Canis lupus familiaris: one gene and its partners. The main gene of each other region encodes a partner of the protein of the gene in region 2 in a complex. Links are inferred from orthologs where the notes say so. Each region holds a gene or a part of one and is shown on either strand. Other genes may lie near its edges.

The links.
Region 1: CELF1 (region 2) and CALR share a complex: the UniProt entries of both Homo sapiens proteins name them as parts of the EIF2 complex. The link is inferred for Canis lupus familiaris from reciprocal best matches to the Homo sapiens genes CELF1 and CALR.
Region 3: CELF1 (region 2) and CALR3 share a complex: the UniProt entries of both Homo sapiens proteins name them as parts of the EIF2 complex. The link is inferred for Canis lupus familiaris from reciprocal best matches to the Homo sapiens genes CELF1 and CALR3.

Annotation. Positions count from the first base shown.
Region 1 is NC_049241.1:49,648,963-49,654,503, reverse strand, and holds the start of CALR (calreticulin), read left to right. Parts: upstream 1-2,141; 5' UTR 2,142-2,223; coding exon 2,224-2,314; intron 2,315-2,678; coding exon 2,679-2,780; intron 2,781-2,959; coding exon 2,960-3,163; intron 3,164-3,586; coding exon 3,587-3,681; intron 3,682-3,771; coding exon 3,772-3,981; intron 3,982-4,060; coding exon 4,061-4,174; intron 4,175-4,263; coding exon 4,264-4,407; intron 4,408-5,078; coding exon 5,079-5,171; intron 5,172-5,257; coding exon 5,258-5,458; 3' UTR 5,459-5,541. UniProt on the Homo sapiens protein: Calcium-binding chaperone that promotes folding, oligomeric assembly and quality control in the endoplasmic reticulum (ER) via the calreticulin/calnexin cycle.
Region 2 is NC_049239.1:42,598,238-42,603,155, forward strand, and holds part of CELF1 (CUGBP Elav-like family member 1), read left to right. Parts: intron 1-1,486; coding exon 1,487-1,562; intron 1,563-3,066; coding exon 3,067-3,195; intron 3,196-3,557; coding exon 3,558-3,668; intron 3,669-4,599; coding exon 4,600-4,785; intron 4,786-4,918. UniProt on the Homo sapiens protein: RNA-binding protein implicated in the regulation of several post-transcriptional events. Involved in pre-mRNA alternative splicing, mRNA translation and stability.
Region 3 is NC_049241.1:46,446,067-46,451,479, forward strand, and holds the start of CALR3 (calreticulin-3), read left to right. Parts: upstream 1-2,013; 5' UTR 2,014-2,168; coding exon 2,169-2,259; exon of another isoform or gene 2,260-2,296; intron 2,297-2,498; coding exon 2,499-2,600; exon of another isoform or gene 2,601-2,669; coding exon of another isoform or gene 2,670-2,685; intron 2,686-4,854; coding exon 4,855-5,058; intron 5,059-5,413. UniProt on the Homo sapiens protein: During spermatogenesis, may act as a lectin-independent chaperone for specific client proteins such as ADAM3. Required for sperm fertility. CALR3 capacity for calcium-binding may be absent or much lower than that of CALR.

The DNA.
Region 1 (5,541 bases), on a different chromosome or scaffold from region 2:
ATGTCTCTGCCTCTCTCTCTCTCTCTGTGTGTGACTATCATAAATAAATGGAAAAAAAAATGTAAAAGATCATTAAAAAAATTGCTAATGGAATACTTTGTTCTTTTTTCATAGTAAGTCTCAAAATCTGTTGTGTTTTACACTTATGGCACATCTCAATTGAGACCAGCTACCTTTGGTCAATAGTCACAGGTGGCCAGTGGAGATTAGAGGAAACAGTGCAAGTAGATTCTAATCCCATTTATGCTACTCAGCCAAGTCGCTTAAGCTTTCTGTGCCTGTTTCCTTGCCTGGATAGAGATGATATAAATTCAGGTTATTGTGAGATTTAAGCGAAATACTGCCCACACATGTATGTGTACTTGCTAATACTAAATTGAGTATGGACCATGTGACAAGCACTATTGTAAGCAGAACATCTTTACTCATTTAACCATCATAATTATTATGTGAGGCTGGAAAATGGGGTTACTAACATCACCCAATCCTGACCCCATAGTGAGGTCCTAACAAAAATTCAGGATGTGTCCCTCAAAGTCCCTTCTTAGCTTTGAAGCACTTTCCTCGTTTTTTGTTTAATTGCTCCAATTTCCTTCTTTCTCTCACACAGCAGGTTTTAAGCCTGTTCTGTGCCAAGTGCTTCAAGAGACACTGAGGGATGAAGTGAATAAGGTAGTCACAGGGTCTACCCTCAAGCAGGAAGCACCAAGCTCATGCATGCATGACATATGGTGGAAGGGAGGGAAGGTGGGAGGGTCAGTGGCAGGCTTGGAGTGATCACCCCAGATTGGCTCCTCATGCAGGTTGAGTGATACTGGATACTGCCTGGGGCAGAACCCCAACTTCTCCAAGACTCCTCATTCTTCTCTTTTCTGAGTCTCCACCACTATCAGGGAAGCACGCCTTCCCTGCTTTTTTGCCAGGATTCCACCCCCTTCCCCAGTCCACTTCCAAGTTCCCAGGTCCAGGGCCTGTTTGCTTAGAGTTTGGGAAACCCCCAGAGCGCCTTCCTGCTTCCTGCAGCTTGGGGGGAGGGACATGGTGTCAGTCACGTGCCTCTGGCTTCTGAGCGTCTAGACTCAGGGGTCCTGCCCATCTCCCTCGGACCTTATCTTCCCCACCATCTGTCTCATTTTTTTCTTTTTTAACGGAACCCCCCTCCTCTCCTCTTTAGCCGTTTAATTGCAAAAGTCAGGCCGTTTGTGGGAGACCACAGGCAGCGACCCCTTTACCGGCTGAGGGAAGGTTTAAAGGAGAGGCTGCAATCAGACAAACAACGCTACCAAACTCTAGGAGCCACAGCCTATAGTCACATCTTTGTCTTCTAGGTTTCCTTTCTTCTGTCCCAGGACAACCCTAACAGTTTTGAAAGCGGCTCTGTAGAACGGCACCTAGCCAAGGATGCTCCTCCTAGCCTCTTCGGGGCTCCTGTGATTTCAGAGGCTAAGTGACTCGTCCCAGTCACTCAACAGCAGTCTGACAGGCTGTCAGGGCACTAGGGACCACTAGGGGCCAGAGAGGAGAGAGCTGGCACTGAACTCTCTGGCCTGCAAGGCTGTGGCTCTGGAGTGAAATGAAGATCCAGAGCCCCAGCCCCTGAATTCTGGTGCCTTCTGTCCCATCCTGGCCTGGGGCGGGGGAGGGCGAGATCGAGAGCGAGCGTGTGGGAATAGGGGCTCCCCAGCTGCAGAGTAGAAAGTGGTTAGGAAAACCTGGCCCACACCTCCTCGCAGAGGGGATAAAAGAGGGCGAGCTGGAGCGGGGTCCAGGTCCTGCGAGGTGACACGGGCACTGGCGCGCGTTCTTTAAACGCCCAGACCAGGAGCTAAGCGCGCGGGCAAGGGCGGGGTTGGGTCGAGGTCTGGTCACATGACCTGGGCAGAGGGGCTCGAGGCCCCCACCACACCGGTGGGCGGCCCCCACAACGCGTGGTCGACCTTCATTGGCCAGCTGTGTAGCCAATAGAAATCGGCCATCTGGGAACCCTGCGTTCCGAGGCACAGCCTAACATGCTCAGACGACAGCGGTCCAATGGAAAGTCAGGGTCGTGGCCGCAGACCAATGATAAGGTGCGGAGGGCGGGACAAGAGGCCGGGCCAGGTTGGTTTGAGGGGCGGTAGGGTATAAAAACGCGCGGCCGGCGGTAGCGTCCGTCCCTACTGCAGAGCCGCCGCCGGAGGAGAGGTTTAAAGGGCCCGCGCGCCGCCGCCCCCTCGCCCCGCCATGCTGCTACCCGTACCGCTGCTGCTCGGCCTCGTCGGCCTGGCCGCTGCCGAACCCGCCATCTACTTCAAGGAGCAGTTTCTGGACGGAGGTAAGGCCTGGTCCGGTCTCGAGGCCGCCCCGACGACGAGGGCGGCCCCTCAGCCTAGATCTGCGTTGTCCCCTGTAATTACTGCTTAGAGGACCAATACGGTGGCCTCCAGGGACCAGAGCCGCAGGCGATCCTTCCTTCCATGTCCCTGGGGAGCGTCGAGGGTACAGCGGACTCCCGCGGCGGGAGTTAGGGTTCGCCGGAGGAGCCCTTAAGTCATCGAAGATGTCAAACTAGAGGTTGGGGTGGGGTCAGTCAGGGGATATCTCCTTTCCAGTCTTCAGCAACTTGAGGCCATTGGCAGATAGCTATTCGTGGGGAGAGGTCAGTACGGCCGCACTGACCTGCCCCTTTGATCCCCTAGACGGGTGGACCGACCGCTGGATCGAATCCAAACACAAGTCAGATTTTGGTAAATTTGTTCTCAGTTCCGGCAAGTTCTACGGTGACCAGGAGAAGGATAAAGGTAAGAGCCTGGGACGGGTGGATGTTGGGATTCAGGAGGACTTCCTGGAGGAAGCCGTGCATGTCACACAGCGTGGGTATCCCCATGAGCAGGAGGAAGGGGCAGTCTTCTTTGACTCCAGTGCTTAGGGTCCTTGGAGCTTGGGGCTGAGCCATGACCTCACTATGGTCTCCTGCTAGGGCTGCAGACAAGCCAGGATGCCCGCTTTTACGCTTTGTCGGCCAGATTTGAGCCCTTCAGCAACAAAGGCCAGACACTGGTGGTGCAGTTCACCGTAAAACATGAGCAAAACATCGACTGTGGGGGCGGCTACGTGAAGCTATTTCCAGATGGTTTGGACCAGACGGACATGCACGGAGACTCTGAGTACAACATCATGTTTGGTGAGGGACCCCGCCCTGGCGCTGACCTTTGATTAGTTGGAAGGAGACCTAAATCTGGGTTCCTTAAGGGCCACCACAGGTAGTGTTGAGAACATGGGAAGATACTTGTGTAGTTAAGGCTTGTCTTTGCGAGGAAGGCTGAGGACATTGCATTGTTACTATTGGTCTGAAACTTGCAGTTCACGGGATTTTCTGTAGCTATTTCCAGTGAGGGCATTAAATTCCAGAGGTGATATTTTGTTCTTTCTGTTTTTCCTTTTTAAAAGGCTCCACTTTCAGCTCCTTAGAACCAGTCAGGGTATGATTCTTGTCCTGTAACCCTTTACAGATCTGCATTTAAGAACCAAGCCTTCTTTTGTAAAGGTTGGGAGCTTTACAGTGGTGGGCAGTTTCTTGCTCTAACTAAACCCACTTTTTACCTAGGCCCGGATATCTGTGGCCCCGGCACCAAGAAGGTTCATGTCATCTTCAACTACAAGGGCAAGAACGTCCTGATCAACAAGGACATTCGTTGCAAGGTGTGACTGGGGGTGGTGACAAGTGGCTGATAGGGAAGCCTCAGAGGCCAAGCCTGATGGGCGGGGCCATTCATCTCCCACCCTCTTCAGGATGATGAATTCACACACCTGTATACGCTGATTGTGCGGCCGGATAACACCTATGAGGTGAAGATTGACAACAGCCAGGTGGAGTCAGGCTCCTTGGAGGATGATTGGGACTTCCTGCCTCCCAAGAAGATAAAGGATCCTGATGCTTCAAAGCCTGAAGACTGGGACGAGCGGGCCAAGATTGATGACCCCACAGACTCCAAGCCTGAGGTTGGTGCTTGGGCAGAAGCTCCCCATGTGGAAGGTGTAGAGGACAGCTGGGTTGACTGACCTTTTTGTGTTCCCTCAGGACTGGGACAAGCCTGAGCACATTCCTGACCCTGATGCTAAAAAGCCAGAGGACTGGGATGAAGAGATGGATGGAGAGTGGGAACCACCTGTAATTCAGAACCCTGAGTACAAGGTGAGCTTGGAGCTCTGAGCAGGGTGGGAGCGCACAGTGGGGAGCACACTGACCTCCACTCAACCACTGGTTCCCTTCCCCTTCTGCAGGGCGAGTGGAAGCCCCGGCAGATTGACAACCCAGATTACAAGGGCACTTGGATCCACCCAGAGATCGACAACCCTGAGTACTCTCCTGATAGCAACATCTATGCCTATGAAAACTTTGCTGTTCTGGGCTTAGATCTCTGGCAGGTGAGACACAGAAGGGATTCATGGAGCACTTCAAATGTTGAGAGTCACTAAGGAGGAAAGGGATGATAAATGTTCAACCCCAGGCAGCTCTGAGCCAAAACTGGTGCTTTTCTTGAATAATATTCTGGTCTGTCTTTATGGAGTTCTCACGGCACCCAATTTGAGGTTCAGCTTACGTGCCAGATACCTTTCTAAGTTCCTTTATGCAAACAAACTTTTTAACTGCCTTCAACAGTTAGAAGTTGGTTAGATACCCCTGGCACTATTTTTCTAATGAGATTATCTGTCTGACTTACTTGGTAGAACATGCAACACTTGATCTCACAGGCATGAGTTCAAGCCCCACGTTGGGAGTAGAGCTTACTGGAAAAAAAAAAAAAGTAAATAATAAATGTGACTACTAGAAAAAAATGGTTCCTCTGAAATGAAATGTTTTAAAATTTTGTCAGTTTTATTCACTAGTAAACAATCTGTGTCTGGAATGGTGTCTGGCATGTAGTAGGTACCAGAAAAACATTTGAACAAGATATTGAGAGATCCTGTTTTACAGATGTAGAAATCAAAGGGCATTGTGTAGTTGTCATGGGAACATGGAGGGGGTGGGGCTTGTCCAAGGCCAGGGACATTAGTGTCCACCCTGACCACCCTCCATCCACTCTCCTGTCCTCCAGGTCAAGTCTGGCACTATCTTTGACAACTTCCTCATCACCAACGACGAGGCGTATGCAGAGGAGTTTGGAAATGAGACCTGGGGTGTCACGAAGGTGGGACCAGGGTCTGGTCCTGGGCTTGGGAGTGGGCAGGTCTGGTGGCGGGGGGCCGGGCCCTGAGCTGTGTGGTTTCTGTGCAGGCGGCAGAGAAGCAGATGAAGGACAAGCAGGATGAGGAGCAGAGGCTAAAGGAGGAGGAGGAGGACAAGAAGCGCAAGGAAGAAGAGGAGGCAGACAAGGAAGATGAGGAAGACAAGGACGAGGATGAGGAGGACGAGGATGACAAGGAGGAAGAGGAAGAGGATGATGCTGCCGCTGGCCAGGCCAAGGACGAGCTGTAGGGGCTACACTGCTGCCTCTAGGGCTGGACTGAGGCCTGAGCGCTCCCGCCGCAGAGCCGGCTGCGCCAAATAATGTCTCTATG
Region 2 (4,918 bases):
TGGTTGGTATATCTCAACAGATTAAATTGCTTCTTAGTGATAGCACATTGCTTATAAGTTCAGAAAATTCAGAGAGATTTTATTCAGTCTTTTGCCAAAATGATAATATGTTGAAAATGGTCTCCATGATTATACATTTGCTCTTCTTAGAGAGTTTGGAGCTCTTTTTAGGGAAGACTCCCCTTTTTATTGCCATTGCCACATTGAACAGTGCATGATGGTATTTGTTGAGAACTGTGGTCTCTGTTTTAGTTAGGCATGATCCCTGCCCTCAGAGCTGTTCTCATTTAGGGAGGAAATGAAAGTGCCAAGTATAGTATGTATGGTCCACCAGTTGGAATTGAGCACATTGCCTGAGGTATTTAAGACAAAGACGTGGATGTATAAATGATAATACGTTATCATTAATTGTAAGGTTCTTTCTGGAATAGGTAGACTTGAACCTGATCTCTTTTGGACTAGAGCAGTGGTTCTTAATCTTTGTGGGGTGTCGACGCCTCTGAGAATCTGATAAAAATTTTGCGTGTACCCTTTTTTTCATTCTGTATCTGAAGGTTTGTGGACCTTCTGAAACCTGTATGAACTAAAGGGTTGCATGATGACAGAGGAGGGAGGTCAGATGTTTATGGGAATAAGCAGGTTTGAATAAAAGATCCAGAAACAAGAATACCAGTTGTCCATAAGGAAAAGTGATTGGCTTTGAATGGAGCAAAGGTTTTCAGCTGGTTTGTTAGATGAAATTTGCTGTTGGCTAAGATAGTGAATGAGGTCATGTAGATCCATAAGCTTATCGACAGGCCCTCTTATTTTGTTAAGGAATAACCATTGAAAGAATATACATTGAACTGATCTCTCAGTCTGTCAATCATTTGGTCATCTGCAATAGTTGGAGACCAATTTGGTGGGGAGGAGATAAATGGGGCTGGGTGGATGTTGGAGAGTATGGAGAAGCTGATTAGTCATGAGTCTTTTGTGCCCAGGAAAGAATGACTTCAAGAAATACCCTGAAATGGTTAGATTTGATAATTAAAATAGTTGTGTGAAGTAGAAATTGGATATCTAGATGGAAACAGTCTGCCAAATAAGATATGTGGCCTGAACTAAGGAGAACTTCGAAGAGAGGAACTAGCAGTGGCAGTCATCCATGTGCAGACTCTCATTGCAGTGGATTGCAAAGCTGCTTGAGTCGAGCTTAGTTCTTTGCTCTCCTTCTGTCCTCTGCTGTGCTGCCTTCTGTTGCCCAGGGACTTGGGCTTGGCTCAATACTCAGTGAACGTATCTGTCTGGGCCAGGGCTTTAGCTGTGTTGTATTGTCCTGTGCTGTCATAAAGCCTCATGTTTTTATTGTGTTGGCTTGGGTTCTTGTCTTCAACTTTCTTCTCTCTGGGGGCCTCTGCACTCTCGCTTTGCTGTGCTGTAGAGTTATCCCAGATGCAGAACCAGCCCTCACTCTCACTCTTGTTCTGTTTTTTGGTGTAATGTCTAGCTTTATTTGCAGCTCCTTCAGCAGACTGCCTCCTCTGGGAACCTCAACACCCTGAGCAGCCTCCACCCAATGGGAGGTAAGTGTTTCACTGCTGTGGAGGAGCAGCAGCAACCAGGCCACCAGACCCAGCTAACAACAGTCTGAGAGTTTTGCACCGTTTGTACAGAAAACAGATGTTTACCCACTCATTACATAAACCTAATGTAAGGTGAACATCCCAGGACTCAACTTCCTTTTCTCTGGAAGGTGGCTCTTTTAGTTGCTGATGTTAAGATTGCCCTGGGGTTTTCTGATGCTCCTCACCCCCTTAAGTCTGTTGAGGAGGGAGATGGAAAAGAACTGTTAGCATGAGTAGACTTATCTGAGGCCATTTTTATAAGGAGAAAATTGCAGGAACTTTGTTTCCACAATAAAGTGACTTTTCAGTGACTTTGAGAAGCCTTAGAAGGCATCCATGCAAATGGCTTACCCAGAAACTACTAGAACCTAGACAGTTTACTTCTTTGTCTTAATACCTGTTATTTCTTAGGTGATTTGCCTTTTGTTGCTGTTAACAGCAATGGTTAAAAATATGGAAAACTTAATTGACACATGCCTGAGTTTATGACAAAATGGGGTTCCATAGGCAAACTTGATGGTGGGGCCATCAGACAAGTTAGTGGAGTAGAGCTTTTCCAGAGCCCCTGCCCCTACCTCTTCTGCAGTGGATTAAGGCTCAGCAAGTGCATCTGAGAAAGGGGTCATCTTAGGTGAACTGCATTTTACTGTTTGAAAAATTTTTATAGTGGTTCACTTTGTCTCAGGGACTTGGAGTTTGCTGTGTTTTTGAAAATTTGCTAGATTATAAATCTGTGTTGTAGTTTAGTTTTTATTCTCACTAACTCTCCCTCCAACCACCACCACCCATCTGCTTTTCCATCATCTAGAAAATTATTTGGAACACACTGTCAGTGCAGTTCAGATTTCTTGCTCCTTTTAACTGTTGCTTGGGTTCTACTTGGAGGTTTTTCCCCTCAGTGTTTTTCTCCTCCTTCTGATGAGTAATCTGATATTCAAGTAGTGGTTTTTCTTTAGTCTTTCTCCTGTTGCTTTTCTTGCGTGCATCCTCCCCTCTCATTACCCTCCCCGCCCCCCCGGCCACCTGGATCCTGCTGCATCTTCTGCCTGTGTACCCCCATTGGAAAGAGCAAATCCTCTATAAAATAGGAGGAAGGGGCTAAGATGCAGTCCCATTTTGTGCGACAAATTTTGTCGTTTGTTGTTCTCTTGGACACCTGGCTTTGTGGTAGACCACAGACCTTACCCTCTCTTGATTTCCTAATTGCCAGGCCTTGTTATAAATATTCACTTGGGGTGACATGCTATTGGAGTAGATATCTCTTCTCTTGAAGAAATGATGTCAAGTTTCTTAATGTGTTTGAGTGGTATCTGAATCTTTTTAGAGTCTTGTAGTGTTGCTTGTAAGGCTTATCTAGAATAGTTCCTCTTTGGGACCAGCCTTCACCAATGTGTCTGTCATTGCTGGAAGGGATATAAAGAACCCTTATGTCCTGGCTGATCTCTTGCTTTGGATGTTGCAGGGTTAAATGCAATGCAGTTACAGAATTTGGCTGCTCTAGCTGCTGCAGCTAGTGCAGCTCAGAACACACCAAGTGGTACCAATGCTCTCACTACATCCAGCAGTCCCCTCAGCGTACTCACCAGTTCAGGTAAGTGTGTCATTGGAACCAACGTGCCCTTGTGTGCCTTGGACAGAATCTCAAGAAAGAGGTCTTTCATTTTGGAGAGTGGTTAACATCCATTTCCAAAGGGGTCAGATTATGAACAATTAATGTTCCAGTGTCCTCTTCTTAGAAGAGGTGAAATTTCTTTCTTAGGAGAAGAGAAATTTCATAATATTTAGTTTGTTGTAACTGTCATTTGACTTTATACAGCGACAGTTCTCGGAATCAGTAACTGAAAACCTCTTTATGAAGAGAACGCTTGAGTAGTATCACTCTTATGCTTTGGTTCCTTTTGACACGAGAAGCAAATGTTGCCTTGAGTTTAACACCCAGGTTTCTGATCACAGGGTCCTCACCGAGCTCCAGCAGCAGCAGTTCTGTCAACCCCATAGCCTCCCTTGGAGCCCTGCAGACATTAGCTGGAGCAACAGCAGGCCTCAACGTCAGCTCTTTGGCAGGTGAGGGACAGCCCCTGGATGTCATCAGGCCATTCTTTGTGTAGGGAGCATATTTTAAACAACCACAGTAGGTCACCATTAGAATGAACATGGTGGCCCTATAAAGTTAGAAATAATCATGGGATTTCGAGTCAGGCCTGAGTTAAATCCCACTTTCGCCCCTTAACTAGCTGTAACATATGATAACCACCTTTCTAAGGTCATTTTCTCATCCACAAAGTGGGCATAGAACACTTCAAGGGTTGTTAAGTAAATGAAATCATAGGTAAAGTGCTGAGCACATGGCTTAGTACAGTGTCAGGCATGTAATGTGTTTAAGTAAATATTAGCTGCTATTTTGACAATAAGGTTTACCCACCTCTTGTCCTAGACCACACACTCACCCCTTTCAGTACCCAAACCTGAAACGCTTATTTTACCACATTCCAACTCTGTGAGAAAGTGGCCGAAAAGCCGTAGAGAAAATGGAGCAGGTCATGTTTATTTTTATTTTCTATTTATTTTAAATTTTATTTATTTATTCATGAGAGACACACACACACAGAGGCACAGACACAGGCAGAGGGAGAAGCAGGCTCCATTCCATGCAGGGAGCCTGATGTGGGACTCGATCCCAGGTCTCCAGGACCACACCCGGGACTCAAGGGACGCTAAGCCACTGAGCCACCCGGGCTGCCCGGAGCAGGTCATGTTTAAATGATACTAGTCCTTGGATGGGTTGGGAAAAGGTAATGGGGAGAGCCACACCTGGGTGTGGCATTTTTTAATGTGTCCATGAATGACAAGGCCTGGGGAGTGTCCTAGAGCTGACCTGATTGGTATTCCTCCTCAGGGAGAAACAGAGAGAGAGATAAGGGAGAATTTTGTAGTTCATTTTTGGTATCAGTCGAGTCTTCCTAATATGTTAATCCTGTTCTTCCCCACAACCAAGGGATGGCTGCTTTAAATGGTGGCCTGGGCAGCAGTGGCCTTTCCAACGGCACCGGAAGCACCATGGAGGCACTCACGCAGGCCTACTCGGGAATCCAGCAATACGCTGCTGCAGCACTCCCCACTCTATACAACCAGAACCTGTTGACACAGCAGAGTATTGGTGCTGCGGGGAGCCAGAAGGAAGGTGAGTGTGAAGGGAGGCTGGAGTTAGGGACCAGGGCTGGGAGTGGTGTTTTTCTACCTGCAGCAGGGCTGAAGGCAGGCCAAAGGCCAGGAGGACCTTTTAGGTGGTCAGACTGACACTTTTCTTTGGCATT
Region 3 (5,413 bases), on a different chromosome or scaffold from region 2:
TTTAACGCCACCTTCACTCAGGGCCTGATCCTGGAGACCCAAGATCGAGTCCCACGTCGGGCTCCCTGCATGGAGCCTGCTTCTCCCTCTCTCTCTGCCTGTGTCTCTGCCTCTCTCTCTCTGTGCCTTTCATGAATAAATAACCAAAATCTTAAATAAAAAAAAAAAGAGTGAATTATTTTTCTCTCACTCTGTTTCACATTCTGCGTGGTGTGCTTGCCTGCTTATCCTCATCTTAATCACTTGGGTATTAAGGACTGCCCAGGGTACTAACAATGCTTAACACAGGCCTGACCCCAGGGGTCAGTGAATACAAAACCATACCCGACAGAAACAGTGCAGAATTCCTAGCCTGAGTGATACTGGGCAAGTTACTTGACCACTCTGTGCTTCAGCTTGCTCATCTGTAAACCGGTGGTAGTAACTATCACCCTCACGGAATTCCTATGTTCATTGTAGGGCATGGAATAAATAGTAAGATTTACAAAGTAACGTTTAGAATACCTGCATTAACTGAGCTTTGAGCTGGAACCACCCAGTAAAGGGGAAGTGGAGACCACTGGCACATCGACAGCTACCTTTATTAATATTTTTGTAACTGAGGCTCAGGAGAGGACTTGGTCCCCGCCATCCTGTGGGTCAGAGGGAAAGCCTGATCACCAGGCCGGGTTTCCCCCACATCTAGTTCTTCTGAAAGTTCCCCTAGGTTTAAAAATAAATCAATAATGGTTAAAATGGCAAATTTTGCGTTCGGTCCATTTTACCTCAACTAAAACAGATACATTTTTAAAACACCCAATTAAAAATAAACCAATGGGCAAATGATATGAACAGATACTGAAAACAAACAAACAAACATACGAATGGCCAACAAACACATGCAAAAGACATTCAACGTCACTAGCCACTGGGCAAACGCAAATCGAAAACCACCAGGTCTCCCTTCACAGCCACTGGAATGCCTATAATCCAAACTACAGAGAACAAATGTGGGCGAGGATGTGAAGAAATTGGCTCATACACTGTCACGGGGGATTGGAAAACGGTAAGCAGGCCAGTTTGGAAAACTGTCGGCGGTTCCCAAGATGATGGAGACGTACGCCAATATTCCTAGTAGCACTGGTAGTAGACAAGAAGTGGAGACAGCGCAAAGGTCCATTAACTAGTGAATGGAGGAGAGCTGAGGTCCATCCATACGAAACACCAGCCAGCAACAAGAGAACAAATGCGCACACGCGCACACACACACACACACACACACACACCAGCATCCGTGCGTCTCAGACGACACATCATGCTAAGGGGGAAAAAATAGAGAGAGAGCACACAGGATCCCAAGCAGAGAAGGCAGAGCCGTAGGGCCGCAGGGCACCGCGGGGGTCGCGCGGGGTGGGAGCGAGCAGGGACCGCAAAGGGCCAGGAGGGGCCCCCGTGGGGCGGCGGTAAAGCCCAACAGCCGGCTCGCGGCGACGGCCGCACTACTCGGCAAACTTAGTCAATACGAGTACCTGAGTTATATGCTCAAGCGGGGTAAATTGCACGGTACGCCAACGAATCCTCAATAAAGTTGCAAAAAATAAATAAAGCCAACTTTGGAAACCCCGGCGCCCCTCAGACCATCGGGCTCTTCCCAGCTCCCGGAGCTCCCACCCCCGACCACGCTGCCAGGCGGGCCGCGAGGGGAAACAGGCGCGAGGCGCCGGGCCGCCCTCCAGCCTCCCTCCCGGCCCAGCTGCAGGACGCTCCCCTGCTCCCGCAACTCCTCTCCCGATTCTGGGCGCCAAGCCTCGAGCAGCCCAGCCAAGCCTTCCAACCTCCTCCCACGACGTCCATCCGCAGAGGCCGCCGCCGGGTTTCCGGCCACTCTGGCCAGATGGGACCGTTGCCCCGGGCAACAGCGCCAGGGCGGAAGAGACTACATATCCCGGCGCGCGCTGCGCTCTGAGGATCAATGGGCGCCACCACTCCGCCCCCAGGTCATAATCGCGGAGCATCATGGGAGTTGTAGTACCGGGGCGGACCCGACGTGCACTGCGCGCTGGGGGGCCAATGCTTGCCTCAGATCACAATCGCGAGGCGTGACGGGAGTTGTAGTTCTGGGACGGCGGGCACGCCTGGGAGACAGCTGGTAGCAAAGGGGCGGTTACGAGAAGTGCCACGTGCCTTCCATGGCTTTGGTTCACGTTCCGCTTTGGGCGGTGTGCATGCTGCGGGTGGCCCTGGCCACCGTCTACTTCCAAGAGGAATTTCTAGACGGAGGTGAAGAGGCGACCCCCTTGGTGGTGGAGTGGGGGTGTAAGCTCACCAGCCCATAGCCCGAGTCCCCGCTGGCCCCGATCCACCACCGCGAGGTCTGTGGTGGCGAAGCCTTGAAGCTTCGAAACTTCGAAGGTTCGAAGCCTGGAGCCTCCTTCTCCTCCCCTCCCCCCGCAACACATACACCCTCCCTGACTCCAATAAGGAGCCTCAGCCCTAACCGGTGTTGTTTTCCCCCATAGAGCACTGGAGGAACCGATGGGTGCAGTCCACCAATGACTCTCAAATTGGTCATTTTAGACTCTCGTCCGGGAAATTTTATGGTCATAAAGAGAAAGATAAAGGTCAGTGCAGGAATGGTGAGAAAATCGAGCTAAGTGCACTCACACACACACACCACCACCACCACCACTATGCCAACCTTTCAAGGTAGGTGTGGCACACTCCTAACACCTCTTACAGCCCGTTCACCACTGGGGAAACTAAGGCTTGCATAGGGTCTGGCATTACTTTTCCTCTTTCCTTTCTTTACTTGCCCAAGATCGCCTCATTGTACACGAAATTGGTCGCATGAGTTTAGAGACCCCAGGTCTTTGACCTGCAAAGGGAAAAAGGTCAGGGGATACTTCTCATTTTTGTTTTTACTTTACGAAGAAGAAAAGTGTGGTTAAAAGGTATGTGCTTTCAGGTGCATAGATCTTATGGGTACAGAAAGGTTTATATATGTACGCTCTGCTCAAGATAGGGAACATTTTCAGAAGTCCCCCTTGTGCACACACCCCCGTCTCCCCAAGTCATCCCGGTGCCAAGGATGACTTCTGTCTTCTTCTCATTCCTGATGGTAAAAAGTGGACAAAGCGCAACTCGTTTGCCACCTACTCGCACAGAGCTGGTGAGATAAGAATGATTTTTACATTTTTTAGTTGTTGGGGGAAAGTAAAAAGGGGGATATGACATAGTATTTTATGACATGCAGAGATTACATAAAATTCAATAAATATATGAAATTTCAGGGTCCATAAACAAAGTTTTAATGGAACACAGCCATGGCCATTTATTTACATAGAGCTATGGGTTTTTTCCTGCCCCAAGGCAGCAAGTTGGGGCAGAGACCATATGGCCCACAAAGTCTAAAATATTTGTTCTCTGACTTTATAAAAAAAGGTTTGCAGACCCCTGATTTAGATGGAAAGTTTCACTTTTCACCAACCTCCCACTCAGCCTCTACCTTGGCTATTACTCCAGGGTTGTCTTCATGGCAGCTTCCGGTTTTCTGTTGAATGTACATTGTTTTCTAAGTTACATGTTGACCAAAGAGTTGGTCAAAATTCACCCCATAGTACAAAAATGGAGTGAAATTAACAGATTGTTCCATCAAGCTTGTCCAAGGATGGGGTTTCCACTTAGTCATTTGGGGTTTTCCCTCACAATGTTTTTTCTTCTTCCAATCTGGAATCCCGAGATTCTGTGTTTCATTCACTCCAGCACACATCTACTAAGAGAGCACAAGAGCAAGACACTGGGGATACCAATTAATTTGGCCCCTTTCATTGTGGTCTCCCAGGGCCATTACACAGAAGTGGTAGATGGAAAGATGAATAGAATTTACTCCGACAGAGATGGGAAGTGGTGAGAGATGTTGGGGATGGTTGAGGAGGGTGGTGAGAGAGAGGAAAGTGGTGAATCTTGGCCTTAGGAATTGCCTAGATGGTAAGGTGGTAGAGAAGGGGGTGAACCTATGAATTATTTGAGAAAGGAAGGATGGGAGGGGGAGAATGAGAGAGAGATGAGTGTAGTAGTGGGTAGTCAGCTATGAGTTCAGGCTTGGACATATTGATAGAAAATGAAAATACCAAGTGCATTTATGATGGATCTCAGCATTGGCAGGTATGGGGGCAGGAATGTGGAGCAAGGAAGACTAGATTCTAGTAAGACTGGATCTATTTTCAAGTCTATCTTCTACTCCAGTATAAAATAAGGATTTGGTACAGAGCCTGGTGGCTACTGAAAAAAGAAGGGTTTAGTCTTGAAGTGAACACCTTAACTTATAAAATATGAGATGATTCATGTGACAACAGGGTGGTATCTTTGTAAAAAGAGGGCAGCTACAGGCCAGTGCATCCCGTGTAGTGAAGTACATTTTTGCAGGTCAGCACTCTGTCCTCCATTCACTGTGGTATATCTGAAGCAACTATTTCAAGATGCAATTTAAAGAAAAGATGTAGGATGCTCTGTTTCTTAATTGAGTTGCTACATAAGCCTTAATGTATATTCCCTCCCTTTGGAAGATGAATCGAAACAAAATTCACTTCTTATCCATAATTAGGTTCCATATTTATCATTTAAAGCTGAAGTGTTTTTGTAATTTGAGACATGACAGTGGTATACCAAGCAAAAAAACAACTGTGTGTGGAAAGTTCTGTGGCAGCAGAGAGGCTGTTAGTGGTATGTCCATCATGTTTTATTGTAAAAATGCGTTTTGAGGCTCTGAATTAACATAAATTATTATTATTGGGGATGGGAGGACCACTATTTAATTCCCTGTAGAACTGAGCACAGTGTCATTCCTAATCTTTCATGAGTATTTTTTGTTTAAAGGTCTGCAAACCACTCAAAATGGCCGATTCTATGCCATCTCTGCACGATTCAAACCATTTAGCAATAAAGGGAAGACTCTGGTCATTCAGTATACGGTGAAACATGAGCAGAAGATGGACTGTGGAGGAGGCTACATTAAGGTCTTCCCTGCAGATGTGGATCAGAAGAACCTGAATGGAAAATCCCAGTACTATATTATGTTTGGTGAGTTTAGATAGTACAAAACCACCATTTCTGGTGACTTTGAATCCTTCCACTTCATAGAATCCTCAGACTAAGACTTTACCGAAGTAGTAGTATCGGATATATCCAACCAAAGGTTTTTAAACTAATATAAAAAGGCAACTGTGCCATTCTGTTGTACTTTCTTTAAATATATATATATTTAAAGATTTATACATATATTTATATATATTTACATATATATAAATATTTTTATATATTCATATATATTTATATTTATATATATATATATATAATTTTTTTTTTTTTAGAGAGAGAGTGAGTGGGGGAGAGGGGAAAAGTGAGAGAGGGAATCCTGAAGCAGACTCCTTGTTGA